Drosophila melanogaster: one gene and its partners. The protein of the gene in region 1 interacts with the protein of each later gene in a pairwise test. Each region holds a gene or a part of one and is shown in the gene's direction. Other genes may lie near its edges. The genes, in order: ND-39, CG10927, Tsp42Ej and PolH.

Region 1 (7,235 bases):
AAATTTTAGAGTAATAATAGGGTAATGCAAGGTCAACAGACTTAATGCCATTTTTTGGGGTAAAAGATTTAATGTACACTTGTTTTCGAAACCGATTAAAAAAAAAAGAAAAAGTTGGCATATCACGCTAGATTGAATAAAGTAATTGCTCGTATTTATTGGATTTGTATATTTAGCGAATTTTTTTTTTTCAAATTTAATGCTTACTGGTGGTAAACTGTTTAAATAAAGAAAATTAATATGCAACATATCGGTATTGTTATTGATATCGCCGCTAAACCTTTGATTTAACATCACTCGAAATATTTATTGAAGTGAAAACAGAAGCAATCGGCAAGTAAAATGAACAACTTATAACGTGTAATTAAATTTATATATAAATTTCTTTTAGTTTGTATGTTAACTAGCTATTTAATTGCGAATAAGTCCAATGTTCAATTGAATGTCCGTCCGTCCGTCTGACCGTACATATTTTTTTAAAGATATTTGTAAAAAGTTGAGACAAGGCATGCATCCCGACATCTGAGTAACAGGTATCTGGTTATTTTATAGATGCTATGTATAGTTAAACAACTATTTTACAAAAATGAAATTGCTCACAGATTAGTATTGCGAGAAATCTTTTTACTTTCGAGAATTCAATTGCAAAATTTTAAGGTTTTTATGGAATGTTTTTTCACCCCTTTTGTCATAATTATTTGATTACCCTCGAATCCGGACCTTCTCAGATGGCGTAAAGTCCAGATCGTAAATCTGAGCCAAGAGTTGACAGCTCAATTGCCAATTAGACCAATGCAACAGCTCACTCCATTAATTGAAAAAATAAACAAAAAGTGAAGCGTGCAGTAAAATTCGGGACCAATAACATTTGCTTTTTGTTTTGATTTGCCATCATCAGGTTTCAGGTGCATTAATTCTGTTTGCTTGTTTAATTTTTTGCTTCTTTCGGACCATTGCCTGCATACAAATGAAGTTTGGCAACAAACAGCATTTGTTGCCTATTGGTTTTTGCGTAGATTTTAAACTGAATTACAAAAATACTTCCTATACGGGTCCCTGGCCTGTTTTCAAAACAACCAGCAGCTAAAATCTAACAATTTTGACCATTTCGGACACGATGACAAGGTTGCCGATGCCTTTGGAATTTCTAATTCGCAAGGGAACGGTGTTATTTAAAAATTCTATCAATATTGTTATTGTCTATCAGTGGGCCACAGACAACGTGTGCTGCCAATATTTTATTACTTTGTTGCCCATGAGGCGCATTTGAACATTTCGAACGCGCCAAAATCGGACTCCTGATAAGCAGATAGAGATAGTTGTCTACCGACCCTATCGCTATCTCACCCCAGGTGATTAAGTGGTAAGTGGACAGGTCTGACTGATAAGAGCGATTTGGAAAACAATATCGAAAACAACTCGGCTTTCAGTGGGTTAAAATGCCATCACTAGTCGAGGGATTGATTCGATGGGGAATGTTGATGTTGCCACCGGTAAATGTTGCCAAGTGGAAATTAATATTTTTAGGGGGGCTCTCTTATAATATGGGATGTAAATATGACTTATTTAGGTAATACAGCCTTAAAATCATAGGTACATTATAAATATAAGATGTAAGATAAGAGTTAATAAAGATGGAACAACTAGGCGAAAGTAAGTATGCAGATTTTAAGTTATTCCATATTAGTAAGTAGTAGGCTATAAGTTAAATTGCATTGCACTCGGCTAAATTTTCCGTACTAATTGTGTGTTCTATAAAAATCCAGCTTGTATCTTACTGCTTTTTAGCCCATAATCATAAAAGTGAAACCCAATCCACGTTTTTTTTCGCGAATTCACAACCCTGACCACCTGTACATAGTAAGTGATGAAGCACACGATTCAATGAAATATTCCCATTATAATAAACAAAGAAGTGTAAATATTTTAATTACGATTTTATGCACCACCATCTACGTGCAATCTGCACCTATATACATAAGTATATATCTATATATGTACATATGTATGCTTTCCCTGCATCCTCATCGAAAACGTGATCAGTTGGGGTCCGAGAGATTTTTTGATGATTTACAAAAACCCATTAAAATAATACGAAGTTTGATATTAATGCTGATTACTAAAGACCCACTTCAATTACACTTAATGACTCGAAATTACAAAACGACAAATCTAATTGAATTAAATTTATAAACATACAATGCGGTTGCAGTGATAGAAGTAATAAATACAATAATAGCTTTCTATGTAAGAGATTAAAATATAATAATTTTTCTTTTAATATAAATGTAAAATTTTTGGATCTCACGCTACTCTTTAGATTAATAATTTGAGTTGGCTAATATAACCGTGCAACCAAAAATGCATTATTAACTCAATCGCAAACAAATTAGTTTGTTTATTATTTCATAGAGTAATTGTTTATAATATTTTGGAACTGGAAACACGGCCGAGCTGGGTTCTTCAGAACTTGAGCCAAGGCCCGGGATTAATTTCCATTGAATTAGCTAAGGGTGAGAATTTGTTTTTAGCTTAATCTCGATGCGACTGGCAGGTGGATCGTAGACAGATATAACCGTTAATTAGCATTAATTTCGATCGAACTTATTTTTATACACCGCAGAAGTAATACATATTTCGGGCAATATTTTTTCACATCGGTGCCAAGAGGCGCGAGGCGTCTTAATAATCACTTGCTAAATGGATCTACAATCTGCCCGCTAACGAATCAGTCATCTATATACAATCTGCGAGTATCCAAAACTGCGCGCATTAGGGCGTATTTTTCCGATTCCTGGGCCCAGATACAAAGCCGAATTTCGCATACGGCCGAAAAGCCCTTATCAGTCTAGACCCCTAATACTGTGGCTAAGAACTGGAGAATTACCGTCTTTTGGACTCTGATAAGCGAAAAAAGGCCTGCGTTCGCTTTACGTTTTCTAATTATAACCGCGGCAGCGTAAATTGCTTTGGAAAATGTAGCTTTTCCTATTTTATTGTTATTATTATTATTATTATTATTCACACACACGCACGTTAGCGATTTAAAATATTTCGAGGCACACGCGCTAATTTTTTCGGGAGCGAATCATTCAGATCGTTGTTAACTGCAGCGCGGCTCAAACACGAATGATCGCAAAAGACGACGAGAAATATACATATGGCAAAATAAACGGAAAACCCGAAGCACCATGCCGAACTATAAGTACTCTTTTAATTGAAATTCGAAATGTTATAATACTAGTAAAGCTATGTTCTACAAAAACAAGAAGATTTCCTCATTATAATTCTGAGCATTCATAATTGAATTAAAATTAATTTTAATTTTTTCACTAGAACGGATATGTTCCAAGAGTAGTTAATTTATTTATTTATTTACTTTTGAGTTACTCTTCGTAAGGGTATTAAAGGCAAAGAGAGATGGTCGAATAGGAGCAACAACAACACCAATAACCACGGCCGGCAAAACAAACGAAAAGCCCGCAAATTTAAAGGGTGGGGAGCAGAGATAAGGAAGAGAGAGGTAGAAAGCAACAGTGATAGTATTTGTGTGGGCGAAAAAGTGCGTGAGCAGGTTGAAAAAAAATCAGCTGATTGCATGTGAGCTATTAAAGAGAGCGAAATGAGAGCAGAAAAAGGAGAGTGAAATTTATACATATGTTGCTTGTTTATGCCTGTCAAATGTAGGTATGTTTGTATTGTCGTTATCTAGGTAGGTTTATGAGACAACAACAATGCCATAATAAATATTATAAATACATATTTACATATGAAGCTATGGTAATCTCTATAGAATTACATCCTCAATTGTCAAAAGCAGTGATCTGTGCAGATATTTAACTTATCAAACGCACAACTGAAGTCAACAAACAAAAAACAATGTGTTTTATTATAACAATAATATAAACAATGTGTTTTATTATTTATTTTTAGACAGGGTGATTCAATAGAAATATCTGACACGAAATTTACTCTTTATACACAAATACGTACATATATATGTATAAGAACGCGTTTGACACACTGACAAATGTTTATAATTTTTTGTATATCCTGACCCACTGCATGTGTATAATGTAATGTTACAATACCAGAAATATTTTTGTATCGAAGGAGGTTATTCATGACAGTCGCATTCGCCTGAAATCCCATTATCTTAACCAATCTAAAAACAAATTACTAACTTATATACCCTCGGTACTAATTAGTTTACCCAAGCTGTTACATTCAAACCAAATTAGCTAGTGGTCCGCACTTTATAACCGCAAAAATGTGTATCCATTATGAACAGTTTCACCACAAGCTCACTTTTATTTCACTGCTTATCGGTGTTTTTGGTCCGTAGAAATAGTTAATCCTTAGTTGGCCGATTTCGAACAGATAACACTAAGTTTTCCCGATGCTCTCGGTTTTACAGCTCGAAGGCGACTGCTAACTGAATTCTTTGTCCGTAGAACCCAAGCCGTGCCGAATTAAACGATCCGCGGGCTGGAAATTGCAATTAAGCCACGCACATTAGATAAAAAGTTTGCGGTGTGACAAGCAAGGCAGTTACTTTTCAACTGGGACACGGTTAGCTTATGTCTTATTTGCCAACAAATATTTATAAACTAGTGCCAAGCAAGAAGAGTGGTTTATATGACGGTTTAATTACCGCTAAGAGGCTAAGATATCCCCAAGGTTGTCAAAGTAATTATGAGGTAAAATTATTAGTGCCACCTAAATAGTATGAATAATTCGAGATCATAGTAGTTATAACCGTAGTAGCATTTACCGATATTTGATAATCAGATAATTAAAATATGTTTGGTATGCAATGGCCACGAACACGGTCTATTGGTTATGAGGTCAATTATTTACATATTTAGGGTTAACTTTAGGTTAACAGGGCTTTTTAAAAACTATAGAAAAAACTGTTACTTTCCAAATCAAATGTTTTTCTTCAGTCTGGCAGCTTTGTTTGACGGTAGTTTTTGATATCAACCTGTCAATTCTAGTATATTCCAATTGCTACGCCACGGTCACACTGTCGTGGGGCAAAATAAAAAACTGGCCTGTTCCGAAATAAAATAGGATTTTAAGCGTAAATTAACCGAATCGAGTTGGTCCAGTGTGCCGGTGCGAAATGGCCGCCATAGTACTAACCCGTAATCTCCAGCTGGCCAGTGAGTACCGTGCCTGCGGTCGAAAACCGCCAGGCAATCCAATTATGTAATACGATGTTTGTGGCTAACTTTTGGCTCATTCTCTGTCCAATTCCGGATACTTAGAGCACCACGGCAGTGGCGTGGTTGGAGTTTTGTGCCTGCGTGGATATTCCGCCGCTGCTGCGCCGCCGGAAGATGGTCCACGTCCACTGAAGACCACCAATCCGGCTGCCATGAAGCGCGGAACTGGCGGACGTAGCAGTTTCAATGGGATCGTGGCGACCGTTTTCGGTGCCACCGGTTTCGTGGGCCGCTATGTCTGCAACAAACTGGGCAAATCTGGCACCCAGATGATCCTGCCCTATCGCGGTGACGATTCGGATGTTATCCGTCTTAAGGTCACCGGTGATCTTGGCCAGGTACTCTTTCACTTCTACAACCTGGAGGATCCCGCCTCCATTCGTGACGCAGTCAAGCACTCGAACGTGGTCATCAACCTGGTGGGCAGGGACTTCGAGACCAAGAACTTCAAGTTCAAGGATGTCCATGTCAACGGAGCGGAGAGGATCGCTAGGTGAACATCATAGCCAGCATTATTTGCCTGCCCACTTCTTCATTCTAACTTTGCATGACGTAAACCACTTTTATTTCTTCAGGATTGCGCGCGAGGCTGGCGTGGAGCGCTTAATCCACCTGTCCTCTTTGAACGTGGAGGCCAATCCCAAGGATCTGTACGTCAAGGGCGGCAGCGAGTGGCTGAAAAGCAAGTACGAGGGTGAGCTTCGCGTACGCGACGCCTTTCCCAACGCCACGATCATCCGCCCTGCGGATATCTACGGATCCGAGGATCGCTTCTTGCGCTACTACGCCCACATCTGGCGCCGTCAGTTCCGCTCGATGCCGCTGTGGCACAAGGGAGAGAAGACCGTCAAGCAGCCCGTCTACGTTTCGGACGTGGCCCAGGCCATCATCAACGCCGCCAAGGATCCGGACAGCGCTGGCCGCATCTACCAGGCTGTGGGGTAAGTCAATCTCCGAGTCCAAGTATTTGTACCATGTACATTTTCTTAATTTCCTTTATTCTCTGCAGACCTAAACGCTATCAGTTGAGCGAGCTGGTCGACTGGTTCCACCGCCTGATGCGCAAGGACCAGAAGCGCTGGGGCTACATGCGCTACGACATGCGCTGGGACCCCACCTTCCTGCTGAAAGCCAAGCTGAACAGCTTCATCTGCCCCGGCACCCCGATTGGCGGTCTGCATCCCGCTCGCATCGAACGCGAGGCTGTCACCGACAAGGTTCTGACTGGTGTCCCCACGCTTGAGGATTTGGGCGTCACGCTGACCACAATGGAGCAGCAGGTGCCATGGGAGCTGCGTCCCTACCGCGCCGCCCTCTACTACGACGCCGAGCTGGGCGAGTTCGAGACTCCCTCGCCGCCCAAGTGCATCGAGGCGCGCGATGAACTGCGTCTGTTTGCCTAAGCGGAGCGAAGTAGCTGTCTGTGTTGATTGGAAATTTTTAGTTGGAATTGTTTAAGGCGATGCGTCAATAAAGAGAAGTCGAAAGACCCAATGACAACGAAGGAAACTTATATTTCCAAATATTATATAGACATTGATATATGTATTTATTTCGTGCATTTAAATATAAAAAAATTTATAAATACTTTTGAAAAAAAAGTCAAATGGCTAGAAAAGTTTGATGTCGGAAAAAAGATTGGCAGCTCGAAATACCTTTGGTATTTTTCGGTATCTTATTGAGGTGACATCGCTCCGGCAACTAAATCAAAACAAATGAAATCGCTGTCATCGTCTGGCAACGCTTCGCCCGTCCGATTTTTCTTCCTTTGCGACCAGGAGCTTTTCTGCAGCAGTTTCCTCCGAAACTTACGCCCGTGCAGATTTATGGCCGGAAAATCATAGTACGGAAAATTCGATTTCCCAAGTTTTCTGAGTCTGTGTGTGTGTGTGTTTTTGGTGTGTGTAAAGATTTTCAACTTTTCAGCTTGGTTAAGCGGTGAAAAAAGAATATATCAACAACAACACAAGCGCGCGCCCGCCTCTCTTTTCGCGTTTTTGTGCGTGT
Region 2 (3,303 bases), on another chromosome or scaffold:
AAAACGAAAACACACAAATTGCAGATACAAGTATCTCGCGCTTCGCTGATTTTCCAGTTTCTCCCGTGCAAATCACCTTCGCACCGTTACTTCTAATTGCGGCAAATGGAAAACACTCTCGTCTCACATATACGACTGCACTTGCAGATACACTTGTGTATTTTCAGATATAATTTTTGATATTTTTCCTGCCGATATTTTTATTTCCTTTTTTTTTTCTTGACGGGTAGGGGGCGGTACACTGGCACACACACGCTCATTCGCAGGAACAGCTCGAGCGCTCCAGGAACGACATATCCAGCGCGCGTCTCAGAGTGAACTGACTTACTTGAAAGACACTCAAGTCGGAAGACCCGAGCACGAAGTCACCTCATACACAAATAATGGGGGGATTCGAATACAAGTTCTCTCTCTCTCTCTCGGTGCTCACAGTATTACATCCGATGCGAAGATCGCTGAGAGTTGCATAGTATGCTCATTCCAAGGCGTTCGATCTCCAACATGGTATGTTTGTATCTTCTATGCATGCAACAAGTGGAACCAACTGCAACTCCTAGCAGTCGTGGGTGCATGATCGACAGCACCACCAGGTTGAAATGATGACCCATTCGTAGTACATCTCGACTGGATAAGAGAAAAATATTATTTTAATTAAAAATCGAACGTGAATAGAATTTATGTACTTTTTAAGTCCACTACGTTTTGTTGCTTGTTTGTGTTATATGTTGTGTGTGTGTTATAGAAAGAAGTTCTCGATAGTTAATGTATTAATCTACTTCTCTATCTTCTTTTGTTTTCAGATCCAAAAGAAATTCAAAATTTTTTCACCAACTTACGTATGCTAAGAAAACCGCCCAGAAGGAGGTGCAGAGGGTCCCACAAGAGGATGTAGAAGAGCACCACAAGTGCGATGAGGAGCCCCAGGGCCGCAATACCTATAAAAAAGGACAAGAGCATGGCCCAGCACATGTCCTGTAGAACAGCGATTGGATATCTTTACAAATTTAAGGATAAAAGTATTCACTTACCCACATCGTTCCGAGGAGAAGAAGAATTTTAGCTAGGGCTTGGACAATGCCAAAGACCATTGCCATGACCACAAGCACTGTTTCCGGATTGCCCTTGATCATCTCGAATAGACCCACAGAAAAGACCATTAAAGCTAGAAGCATCCCCGTGAAGCCGATGAAGATGCAGCCAATGTAAAGCGACAAATAGCCGCAAAACAAGCGCAGACACATTTCGATGTTTCCTCTAAGTTTTGACTAGAAATCACAAGCACATATTTCACTGGAATTTTGAATTTAAACTTTGGGTATCAGACTGGGCACTGCTTACATGTAGACATCAAAAAAGATATTGGTTGTAAGGAATTATAATGCAAATTAGACAATTGATCAGATTATTGAGCTGATTAGATTAAGTATTAGGGAATGTATATCAAAAGTAGGAAATATTTGAAACAGCTCCCAAGCTAAATAGCTTTAAAGACTTTTAAACGTATAATCTTTCACTAAATTATTTTTAAATGCATATTTTAAATAGAAGACATTTTTCAAAGTTGGCGCTTAATATCCAAACAGCTGTTTCAACGCCAGCGCTTGGCACTTATCGATAACCTATTTCAATCGATTCCAATTGGCATTCTTCTAATTGAAGAATTAAGTAAATAATGGATATATCCGCGCCACCAAACAAACGTGCTCGAAAATCACCCAATCTGGATGAAGACATAACTGGGATCCGGGCCATCCTCTCCGATGAGTTCGACGAGGATATTGCGCTCATCAAGGCGCACAGTTGCGAGTTGGAGACGAAACAGCAGCTCCAGGCGGTCATCCAGGAGCTCTCACAGAAATTGCCCCACTTTCAACACCTAAAGCGCGTCCAGGATCGCAGCGTGCTCATATGTCCCAGCTCAGAGATCGGAGTGTCTCAAAGCCTGGAACAACACCTTGAACAGTTTGCCTTTTCGGAGCACGTGCTCCGTGCTTTGTGCCAGGGAGTCCGGGTGGTGGAGGTGCCGGAACGGATGCCCCGACTGCGGGTGCAGTACGAGAAGACCCTTAAGCACTGGCCCTGCAAGTTTCACCCTAATCACTACTCGGAGTCACTGAGGAATGGCAGCAACTTTAGCTCCGCACAACGCACATTTCACAAAAGGATCGGGCAATTGCTTGTGAGGCTCTCGCGGGATGTCAATGCCAATCGTCCGGTGGGCATCTGCGTGGATCCGCGACAACCCAGCATTGTGTCCATTGCTGGAACTGGTGAAGTTTGTAGGCCGCACGAGCACTGCTGCATGATGCTCGTCGATTTTGTGGCTCGCAGTCAAGAAGGAGGCGCCACAAAAACGGAGGTTACATTCACCGAAGATTTCAAGAAGGATACCACTCTGCGGGGTATTCCTAAAGCCTACTACGATTACCTGATGAACAATGAAGACTACAAAGACCTGACATTCGGAGCGGAAAAGTCGAGAGAATGCAAAGAAGTGGACGCAGTTCAAGGAGCAGATAACCTGGCCAAATTCGGACCCTATCTGTGCACCGGCTACGATATCTATCTGCTGCAGGAACCCTGCCTTATGTGCTCCATGGCCCTGGTACATAGCAGGGCGAAAAGAGTATTTTTCGTTAAGAACTCTGAAAACGGAGCTCTAGCCACGAGATTCCAACTGCATTCGGTGCGGGAACTCAACCATCACTACGAAGTGTTCCAGTTCACAACCAAGGAGGATGAAGACTTGACGTAACGTTTAACAAACCTTGGTTTTAATAAAGGATTTATAGGATATCTTCGATTTTCGGCGTTGTTTTGGCCGTCGACTGGCGGGTGGGCGTGGACAGGAGACCCAGCAAATGGCAATCTGCCTCTAGAATGGTAATATCCTTGGACGAACCCAGAAACTTGGTGGACAACTCCAAGTCCTTGATGCGCAGTCGAACACGGGCTCCTCGCACATAGTCGCTGAAGTAGGAAAGGCGGTTTATTGGATAAAGAGACAGGAAATTATATTGAACTCACCTGGCATTGCGTGTTGGACGACTGCAGACGCAGTGAAACTTCCAACCAAAGTCTATGTAGAGATCATCGCCCACCACATGAAAGATCTTGCCACTGACCACCTTGCCCTCGGCGTTGTCCAGCTGCTCCAGAAATCAACAAGTTATTACATAAACAATGGGATTACTTAAATAATGTACCCACATCAATTAATTTGGAGTTGCGCAGCAGGGAGGCGAAGGTCTGGTTGTCTTCCGGCAGCTGTGGAGGCGTGGCTGGTGCCGTGTACTTGTCGAA
Region 3 (4,716 bases), on another chromosome or scaffold:
TTAAGTTGTTTCACTTTCAATAAGCTTAAGAAGAAATCTTCTCCGCTTACACTGAAGAGTCTCCAGTTGCGAATCATTATCATCTCCGCTTTAAATTTCCGCATTGTTCCTCCACGTACACACAGTTGGCCCATTCCTGGGGTTAGTCCAGTGGCCTTCACAGTATCTCCGAAAGTTTGCCAGACAGTGCTCCATGTCATAGAGCAGTGGACACGCAGCGTGCGGCTGGGGATGTTCATGCTTTCGTCGTCGACAATAATTGCCAAAAGCATGTGTTTATCCCTTAAAAAGCTCAGGAGTCTGCTCAAAGTGATTCTGATGTGTTCAGCCGCCAGACTCTTTTTTTAAATTGGAGGAAAAAACTCCTTCCTTTTAGCGTTGCAATTGCAACCTCGCACTGTTGGTTGATTTTTTGTAGCGTCTTCTAAGTTTAACGTAGCAGACATTTTGGCGTTGGCGGCTTGATAATTAGATAATAATATATCGATATGCCTTGTTTTTCGACCCAATATCGATACACAAAAAGAAATATCGGTCAATACCCAAACCAAAAAAAAAAAAAAGGCGAAGAAGAAGTGGCTGATTTATTTTCAGAGAAATGGGATTTAAGGGCAAATATTCAATAGATAGTATCCTGATGGTCCACTGGATTGGAGGCTTATGGGTATGGAAAATTATAAAAATAATAGTTATCACTTACTTCACAACGGCATTTCTGGCAGGATCCCATGAAACGGAGAGGATTCTCAGGGAGCAAAACTTCGAGCTAGTGCCCACCTTTCGGAGGCTTCACTGGACACATTCTGGACAGTGACATTGTCAAGTCCTTTGTGATGTCTCAGTATGCCAGCCTCAGGCGCATACGGCGGCCCTGGAGGAGATTGACACGCTGCAAAAGTCCCTGAGTGAGGCCAATAATTCAATCATCCAGATCGAGGTCATTGGCGAGGTGGCCTATCCTTGTTATCTGTGCACCAAGAATTTAATCAGAAACGACGCCTTGAATGTGCACATTGGCACCGGCAAGTCTGACATCCGCCACCGAGAAGGAAAGGATCGAGCCACCAATGTGCACCTGATAAACACCATCAAAATGGAGCTGGAGATCAAAGCCGCTAAAGGAGCGCTAGAATGCATAGCAACTCGGTGAATCGTTGCTGGTATTCACAGCATTCTAGGCAATCTTCCACAAAACTGTCACCATCATCATCACTCTCGTAAAAGAAAGAAAAAAGAATTAAACCTTGGTTGTGTTGTTTAATAGCTTCATCGGTGCTAAAAACCTCTGGATACATTAATATTTTCCTAATTGCTTAAGCTCGAATCCATTCAATCATTCAGCAGTTCACATATGTACGCTCATGACAGACCCGATAAGAATTCGAAAACACCACCGTGTGGAAACGCCAGTCGACATGACTTGGAGCTCTGACCCAAGTGCAACGCTCTCTTTTGAGAGAGCGAGTGCGCTCTGTGTGGTTTATTTTGATTGGGGAACAACAGTCCTCACGGGAAGAGAGAAAAACAAAACTTTTCCCGCTTTCAGTTTGCCAGCGAACGCAGAACGCGCCAGACCAAAAAGTTCAGATTCGAGAGGGGCCCTTGGGTCTCTCATTTTTTCGCTCAGTCGCAGGGCAGCTTTTGTGGCATCAACACCACGAGTTCCAATCCGAAATAGGGCTCAGAGCTCCGAGCCCAGTTTAATGTGGGTGTAGACCTACTCTGGGCGCAAGTAAACAATGCCCTGCCCTAAGCCAGTGGCATAGTGCGAATCGAGCGAGTTTCCGGAACTCGGAGGTCATATCTTCCATTCTATCGGCAGCCAGATACTTTGGTTCACAAGCATAACTGCCAAGGAAACTCACGTGCGACATTGTGGCAACATGGAGAAGTCGTTTCCCATAACACCCTGGAAGTACGGCCTACTGGTCACCTGCATTCTCATTGTGGTAAGTGAAAAAGATGCGCATTTCCCCATTCCAGAGCTTTCCCATTTTCCCGAGCCTGACCCAAATGGGAATCTTGCACAACACCCGGTGATGCGAGCAATGAGCCAAAATCGAAAAATCAATATTGCGCCCAAGTTCACATCTTTCGCAAGAGAGCAAAAATTGGTGACAATGAGCCGCTAAAGACTATAAACAAATCGATGCAATCTCAAAAAATATTTATAAATGCATAATACCTGTTCACATACTTACATAATTCCGCCGGCCAGCTGTTTGTAATTTTTGCAATATCTATAAATGGCCCGCAATTCTGGGTGGCTTACGCCAATTAAATTCACTATTATATTATATAATTTATTCTTATACAATTATGCACATGGGACACTGTTTACAAATGTCAGAGATTGATTAAGCATGAAAGCATAAAATGTTCTTGCATTTGCATGCTATAGTCTCATAGATTTTCATTTTGGTGCTTAGCAAGTACAAATGCCAAATGCCTAATGCTCATTTTACCATAGTTTAGAAAACTAGTTGATGGATAGCTGGTAATGTCTGACTGCCAAATGTAAGTTGAAAAAATGACGCTGTAGACGCTAATGAATCGTGCTTGTATTTATTTATTTGGCACCCCAGCACTACACGTGCAATTTATTATTTAAAGTGCTTGTCGCGGCATTAAAATATTATTAGGTCAGTACAAAATGTATATTTAGACTTTGAAGCTGGCTGATCAACGATTTAATAAGTAACTTTCACCTATTAAAAATAATAAACCCTAAAACTATTACGCCTTATCGGTAGGTGTTAAATAATAATGCATTCCATATAGCTAGTTCCTGAAGTTCATACGCACAACCTTGGCAAGTAATTTATTAAGTTATTGGGGCCACACTTTTAGTTTTAGTTTCTAACTCTGCGAGAAAGATGTTCGTTCAAGAAGAAATAGATTAGGAAGTAATTTAGTCCATAATTTTCCTTAGTACTAAGGACTTAACTAACTATTTTGTTTCCCTTTCGTTCAGACGTGCAACGTGTTCTTCTTCTCCTGTGGCGTGACCACCTGGGGTTCGGCCGTCTCCGTCTACGGCAGCTATGGGTCGGCACTTTGCGGAGGAGCAGTTTTCGGAGTCGCCTTCCTGGGCATGTACGTGGCCTTGAAGGTGTCGTACAAGTATTCCATATACGTGAGTAAACTGCGTTCACAACTGCAAGTCACAGACTAACCTCTTTGCATTCAGTACCTAATTTGCAGTGGCCTGGTTATAGCCGCCCTGGGCTCCTACCTCTTCACCTTCACGGCGATGCGGGAGCAGCTGATGGGCAGGTTCGAGGAGCGCATGCGCGACCTCTTCGAGCGAAAGACCCACAGCGACGACAAGATGCAGCCAGTGCACAGCCTCTTCGGCTGCTGCGGCATTGAGGGACCGCAGGACTACCTTCAGGAGGAGCACGGCGCCCTGCCCAGCAGCTGCTGCTACGCCTTCGACTGCTCCAAGCCGGCGCACGTCTACGAGGAGGGATGCTCCACCAAGGCGGTAGCTACTCTGAGAATGCAGGCGGAGCTCAACTACTACAGCTGCATGGCGATCATTGCCCTCGAGGTGAGACATTAAACCATACGCAGGGTAAAATTCACTTGCCACAAGGGTACTTGAGCACAAGGGTATGTTTCGGCACGTCGCTTATGGAAGAGTTATCCAATAACTTTTGAATTAACGCACACAACTGACTCAGTGAACACATTTTAACTACTTTTTTATTCGTCACGCTTAAATAGAAATCCCTGCCAAGATAAGATGTGTGTTTTTTCATTCAAACCATTTTTGTTACTAAAGTTTTCTTTAAACTAAATATGTCAAAGGTGCGATCGTTACTATTTATGTACACAGTTGTTGAGCTTTTGCTTGATGTTATAAAGTTATAAAGTAGTAAGGACGTTAAGACAGTAAAATATTTTTTTAACAAAGTTCGCTTGTCTATTCGATTTCGATTCCATATCAATATTATATTATTACAATTTATGTATTTTTCAGTTTTTGGGCTTGTTCACCGCTTACCATTTGGGCAAGGCTCGCAAGTATGCCAAAACCAAGATAAAGGACGAGGAGACCCCCATCAACGACTGATGGCCGAGGATACCCCTGCATGATTATTGATAATAAAAATTAACCAAATTAGCTAAAATGCCATTAGAAAATAAATACTTTCCATAGCCTAAACGAGTTCCCCGCAGTTATATCTCTCTCTCATTGAATTCGGCATCATTCGGCTGCGAAGATCTGAAAAACAAAAGAACATTGAAGAGCGCAGATCGTGATTTTGGGATTTTACGTGCTGCCGGCAAATATTTGCATCTGAAATTCATTGTCTATCGGAACTCCGATCTGGCAGGTTCGATCATACAACAAAGATTACTCTCTATTACTAATTATTCAAGAGGAATTAGTTTGGAATTTTACAAAAACAGCTTAATCGTAGCACTAGGATGGGCTGCACTTCCGGTTGCGTTAAGTGTTTCCTTAACACTCTTAATACTCTGAACGCGGTGAGTTCTTAACATATGCATATATTCACATGCATATGAATAAAAATTGGTAATTCTGTGCTATAAGAATGTATTACAAATGTAAATTAGCCATCTGTGTTCCCACAGGAATTTAAATGAATACATTTTTCTGCAAATCGACAAGCAAGTACGCATTCCGTTTTCATGGAATCGAAAATTTGTTTGGCCAGTAAACGTAATTTGCTTGTCAGATATGTA
Region 4 (5,696 bases), 1.4 Mb from region 1:
CGTCTGCTGCCTGGCAAAGTTGTAGGCCTGCAGGATCTTCACCATGGTGGCTCTCTACAAAAAAGACGATGAATTCTTTTTTTACGGCACTCTAGAATTACAAACTAAGCCCTCAGCTTAGTGGAGTGACTTCATCGCCGGACGTACACAGACTGATGGCCTCACCGTGAATCAGCCACTAGAGCAGGGAGTTCTCTGACTGAGCGTGGGACAGAGAAAGGGAGAAGTCCGAGTGACAGTGGATTGGCGGACCGCTTAGCGGGGCTCAAGTGGTTCTTATTTGGGCATGTGAACCATTAGCATAATTGTGCGCTTATACTGGGGTTAGGGATCGGAAGAGTGGATGTGCCGATGAGGCCTAAGGCTAGCGCATATGGGCAAGCTAGGCTAGGATAGGGCAGTTAAAAAGTGAAGCACTTAAATTTAATAAGAGTTAGCCGCAGAATATTTCGGGATTGTAGATAAAGTCGCGATCAAAATTAAATCTTTAATCGGTAAAAATTTTGTTAATCTACGATATATGTATGTATACTATCTGGAGTCACAAAAAGTAGGGAAGCAAATAAAACTGTGATAAATACATTTTAAATTGAAAATCCAAAAATATCACTCGCAGTACACCTTTTTCATTCACCATCCGTCTTTCAGAATCATAGATATGCAATCGAACTTTTGAACACCTTTTTTAAAAGAGAGAGTGGTACATTTGGTAAAACAAGAACCCGTCCCAACGTCGTGCGGCATCAAGTATTCCAATAGGTCAGTGCTGCACCTTTACTTCAGGTGGAAGTCCTGCGTTGTTGTATTGTACGCTTTGACCATAGAGTAAACAGACAGGAAATTAGGTCACGATAGTATACAAAAACACGCCCTTCCTGATTTCCGCCGCCCACCACCACCGGCATTCTATGAGGCGATTAAAGTGGGCCCGGTATCCCAACCCCGATTCCGAGTAGCTATACGTGAGTTAGCCCAATTAAGCCATTGGACATTCGCTGGACATACCACTCGGCGCATCAATCAAAACAGCCGGCCAGGAGGCGGACACGGAAGTGGCATAGCCGGAAATAGACAAGGATTGAGATTTATTTCTGGTCGCTCGGTCAAATCAATAATTCCCGCGTAATCCGTGCGTTAACCCAAATGAACTTGGGAAATGGAGAAGCCAGAACATGCAAATGTGTGTTACGGCGGGGAATGGGGTCACTAAGAGATGTGTGTGCGTTTTCAGTTGCATTTTGGCAGCGGCTTATATGGAAAAATCAATATCTAAGCATTTTGTTAGAAGGTGCCGCTGGAAACTTGGCAAATAATTTACTCTTTGGCAATGTCTTACGTTTAAACTCGTTTTATTATTCCATACAGAAAAACAGAAGACAGGGTTTAAGGATTTCTGAAATGCATTCTTCTTCGGCGTAGATGTTCCGACAATATATGTTACTTATTATTAGGTGGTAGTTATGCCACGTAAATATAACTCCCAGGACTCCCCGGACTGCACATAATATTTACTCGCGTTTGTTTATATTATTTCCGAGTGAGAAACGACAAACTATAAAATATCCAATATAGTGTGACCAGGTTTTGCTCTAATGCGAAGTACGGATTGGGTAGAGATAAGTATTTTTCAAACTACGCTAGACTACAAAGCATCGATACAAGGGTACGTTATTTAATACTCTCTAATTTTGAATTTCTAAATAGCTTAGTAATAAGAGAGTCTTTAAAAGTATAAAGCTCCACTACTATCGAAAATATGTTTTCAACAAAATTCTTTACTTTTACTTTAAGGAATATCTAACTAAGAAATGATTTATATCGAAGATATAACACAACTGCTTTGATATGTGTTAAAGAGCATATTTTTATTATTATTATTCCGAATTCTTTTATCAGATTTAAATATGGGAAACACTTTAATGTATTCAGTATTCAAAAATGCATCGGTATTTTAAGAAGTCCCCGCCACGGCCACACTCCTGGCGCGCAGTGAAATTCGCGCAATAATACGAAATGAAATCATGTCCAGCGCACGCAGCCATGTCAGCATGCAGAACAAGTACGACCGCGTGGTCCTGCTGGTGGACATGGACTGCTTCTTTTGCCAGGTGGAGGAGAAGCAGCATCCGGAATACCGCAACCGCCCGCTGGCCGTCGTCCAGTACAATCCCTGGCGAGGTGGCGGCATCATAGCAGTGAACTACGCCGCTCGTGCCAAGGGAGTCACTCGCCACATGCGCGGCGACGAGGCGAAGGACCTGTGTCCGGAGATCGTGCTCTGCCAGGTGCCGAATATCCGGGAGAAGGCCGATACTAGCAAGTACCGCGATGCCGGCAAGGAGGTGGCCAACGTGCTGCAGCGATTTACGCAGCTCCTGGAGCGCGCTTCCGTGGATGAGGCGTACTTGGACATAACGGAGACCGTTAACCATCGCATGCAGCAGATGCAGAGTGTAAGCTCTGGCACATAATTTTAAAGCGTTTTATTATTATTTTCCTCGTTGCAGGGAGCCTTTGCATTGCAACCGCAGGAACTGGTGAACACCTTTGCTGTGGGCTATCCCAGCATTGGCGACTACGTCAACAAGATAACAAATCGCTTCGCCAATCCCTACATGGACGACGAACGCTACCAGATGTCCTACGACCAAAACGACCTTCCCGCCGTCCGACAAAGCGACATTCGGCTTCTTATTGGAGCCTCTGTGGCAGGTGAAGTCCGCGCGGCTGTAAAAAAAGAGACAGGCTACGAGTGCTCGGCTGGCATAGCGCACAATAAGATCCTGGCCAAGTTGGCAGCTGGAATGAACAAGCCCAACAAGCAGACTATTTTGCCGTTGACGGAGACCGCCAGCCTCTTCGACTCCTTGCCTGTTGGCAAGATCAAGGGGCTGGGTGGCAAATTCGGTGAGGTGGTGTGTGAGACATTAGGCATAAAGTTCATGGGCCAGGTGGTCAAGTTTTCGGAGGTAGATCTGCAGCGCAAGTTTGACGAGAAGAATGGGTGGGTCCCTTAAGAGGAGTAGACCACGTTCAAAGTAACTTATTTCCTCTTATTCCAGAACCTGGCTATTTAACATCTCTCGCGGCATAGACCTGGAAGCCGTGACTCCCCGCTTCTATTCGAAAAGCATTGGCTGCTGTAAAAAGTTTCCGGGTCGAAATAACATTACGGGGTTGAAAACCCTTCAACATTGGCTTGGTGAGCTTTCCTCCGAGATCAACGACCGCCTTGAGAAGGACTTCATCGAGAACAATCGCAGGGCCAAACATATGGTGGTGCAATATGTGCAGGACATTGACGGCGAGGAGGTGGCCAGCTCCCGCTCGACTGCTCTCAGAGATTACGACCAGGAGTCCATCGTAAGGCTTTCTCTAGACCTAATCAAGGCAAACACTAAAACGTTTCTGCGTCCTGGTAGCGAGTCTGCTTTAAACAATGCTATCAAGTTCCTTGGCATTAGTGTTGGCAAGTTCGAAACCGTCTCTAGTGGGCAAAACAAGCTGCAGGAGATGTTTGCTAACCAGGCTGCCAAGAAACGAAGGGTAAGTGGAGATGAGCCAGGGCAACTGCCTAAAGTTGAAATGGAGAAAAAGCAGAAGCAAACGGACGAATTTAAGATGAAGAGCTTCTTTGCAAACTATTTGCAAGGAGCTAAAAAAGAGGATGCGAAAGCAGACGGCATTTCTGCGAATCCCTTGGCTGCTGCAGCAGGTGCTCCAAACAAGAATTTCGTAGAGGAATACAAACATAAGCTTCATGCGGCCGTAAGGACTGAAGGAACTGTTCTCACATCAACACCAGCGGAGTTCAAGGAAAGCTTTTTTTCACAGTACCTAAAACAACAAAAAAAGACAGGACAGCAAGGGTCGGTTACATCGAGGGAGGACTCCTTAGATGTGCAGGAGCTGGCCGAGGAATTGGACGCCATTGAGGCTGACAATTCGAAAGATTTTGAAGAAGACACTGAAGAGGAGACGGAGTTAACTAGTGATACCCACATGTCTAAGCCTGAAGGACAGTCATCCGATGCCGGACAAGAACAGGATCCAAACACCTTGAATGATTCAACAGGGAATGACTTATACGTTGAAACTGGTATTGTGCCTCCCACGCTTACTGAAGACGAATTGAAGCCTTCAACATCAAAAAGAAAGTTCGATGAGATCGAAAGTTCTGTAAGTAATTACAAGGAGTGTTACGTAGAGTTTGCAGTACCCAACCTTCGCACCGATATCTTGCCTACTATCAAATGCGATCAGTGCGGAGCAAACATTCCCGACGAAGTTAAGTCCCTACAAACACATAGAGACCATCACTTCGCCCAGGAACTAAGCCGAACGCTAAGAAGCACCGAGCGGGAAGAGAGGACGCAGAGCCGACAGAAGATATCTCTTAAGCCGACGCCACCCAAAAAGAGCAAGAAGACGGCTGGTTCTGGTAGCAGTTCCTACAGTACGGCACCACCGAGTAACAGCATAACCAAGTTCTTCCGCGCCAAACCAACTCAGGAGCAAGCGCCCAGTGATCCACAGATGAATCAGTGCCCCGAGTGTAAGGCTTTCATCAAGTGTGTAGACATGCCGGAACACTTAGACTACCACGTAGCCAGAAACCTTCAACGTGAACTAAACCAGCAGGATCTGCGAACTCGAACCGCAGCTCTGAATAAAGAAAAAATATCTCCAGTTCAGCCAAAGAAACAATCTCAGAAGAAACTGAACTCAACCATTTCTGCATCTTCAAGCGGAACAAAGACAATTGCCCAGTTTTTCAGCCAAAGCAATTAGAGAAACCCTTACACCGCTCCAAGTATTTGAACCTGTATAAGTACCTACGAATGGACCACAGACAAATTTACTTCACTTTAAGATTAAAACATTTTCACATTCAATTCCAAATTAAAAAACAATAATAATTTTTTGCTAGCACATATCCTAGTTATTAAAATCTCAATCTGGCTCTGGACAGCAAATTGATTAGGATTGTTTATTTCTTTTTTTTACTGCTGTTTATTATTTTTTTTTTCAAATCGAGTAATGAAACTCTTAGATTTAATTTTTTTTGTTTTATTTTTCCAATTTTAGGCTTAAGTATTAATGTTGATCATTACCATTACCATCCATCCGTTAATTAATAAAACACAACGCTCTGTCAATGCTAAATATTTTATATGTATAGTATGGTTTGTTCTTAGCGTTATAACACATTTGAAGAGAAATGTATTTGTCTTTGTATTTGCAGGCTGCCTTAAAATAAGATTACGTTAGAACTACTGCGCTTGAGTGGCCGTGACGACTAGATCAAGATCCTTGCTCTTCGATTGCTTCTTGACGCCTATGGCGTCCGCTTCCTGCACTGTTGTAGGTAAAACTACGTTGGTGGTCTCTGGAAAGAACAGCGTGAGCAGGCCGCTCACGATGGCGGCGCCGGCGAAGAGCATGGCAGGAGCATTGGCATAATACTTGGCCTGTGGAGAAAGGGAAAGGAAGCACTTAGATATAACAGGAGATCCTTGTAGCTTTGAGCACCCACCAGAAGAGGCGTCTGCGGGGCCAGCATGGAACCAAACCTGCCCATCATGGAGCAGAAGCTAAGCAGACTGTTTCTCAGATTCGTGGGATAGATCTCTGAGGCGAAGAAATAGAGCACCTGGAAGCTGGCAGTGATGGTCAGTTTGCCAACAAGAAATAGC

The links.
Region 2: the proteins of ND-39 (region 1) and CG10927 interact in a two-hybrid assay, tested with the Drosophila melanogaster proteins (one large-scale study listed by BioGRID).
Region 3: the proteins of ND-39 (region 1) and Tsp42Ej interact in a two-hybrid assay, tested with the Drosophila melanogaster proteins (one large-scale study listed by BioGRID).
Region 4: the proteins of ND-39 (region 1) and PolH interact in a two-hybrid assay, tested with the Drosophila melanogaster proteins (one large-scale study listed by BioGRID).

The regions. Positions count from the first base shown.
Region 1 is NT_037436.4:20,490,355-20,497,589, forward strand, and holds ND-39 (NADH dehydrogenase (ubiquinone) 39 kDa subunit), read left to right. Parts: upstream 1-1,727; 5' UTR 1,728-1,860; intron 1,861-2,887; exon of another isoform or gene 2,888-3,136; intron 3,137-4,308; exon of another isoform or gene 4,309-4,567; intron 4,568-4,992; exon of another isoform or gene 4,993-4,997; 5' UTR 4,998-5,125; coding exon 5,126-5,165; intron 5,166-5,270; coding exon 5,271-5,721; intron 5,722-5,803; coding exon 5,804-6,169; intron 6,170-6,237; coding exon 6,238-6,631; 3' UTR 6,632-6,730; downstream 6,731-7,235.
Region 2 is NT_033778.4:18,611,455-18,614,757, forward strand, and holds CG10927 (uncharacterized protein), read left to right. Parts: upstream 1-1,635; 5' UTR 1,636-1,672; coding exon 1,673-2,755; 3' UTR 2,756-2,786; downstream 2,787-3,303. Other genes in the region: CG42697 (uncharacterized protein), read right to left, coding at 554-624, 837-972, 1,029-1,241; mRpS28 (mitochondrial ribosomal protein S28), read right to left, coding at 2,787-2,970, 3,028-3,149, 3,211-3,303.
Region 3 is NT_033778.4:7,038,595-7,043,310, forward strand, and holds Tsp42Ej (tetraspanin 42Ej), read left to right. Parts: upstream 1-1,541; 5' UTR 1,542-1,883; coding exon 1,884-1,949; intron 1,950-2,974; coding exon 2,975-3,136; intron 3,137-3,190; coding exon 3,191-3,553; intron 3,554-3,985; coding exon 3,986-4,078; 3' UTR 4,079-4,168; downstream 4,169-4,716. Other genes in the region: Tsp42Ek (tetraspanin 42Ek), read left to right, coding at 4,438-4,497.
Region 4 is NT_037436.4:21,938,095-21,943,790, reverse strand, and holds PolH (DNA polymerase eta), read left to right. Parts: upstream 1-1,978; 5' UTR 1,979-2,021; coding exon 2,022-2,453; intron 2,454-2,507; coding exon 2,508-3,004; intron 3,005-3,062; coding exon 3,063-4,791; 3' UTR 4,792-5,157; downstream 5,158-5,696. Other genes in the region: CG14562 (uncharacterized protein), read right to left, coding at 1-45; SLC22A family member, read right to left, coding at 5,274-5,471, 5,537-5,696. UniProt on the Drosophila melanogaster protein: DNA polymerase specifically involved in the DNA repair by translesion synthesis (TLS). Plays an important role in translesion synthesis, where the normal high-fidelity DNA polymerases cannot proceed and DNA synthesis stalls.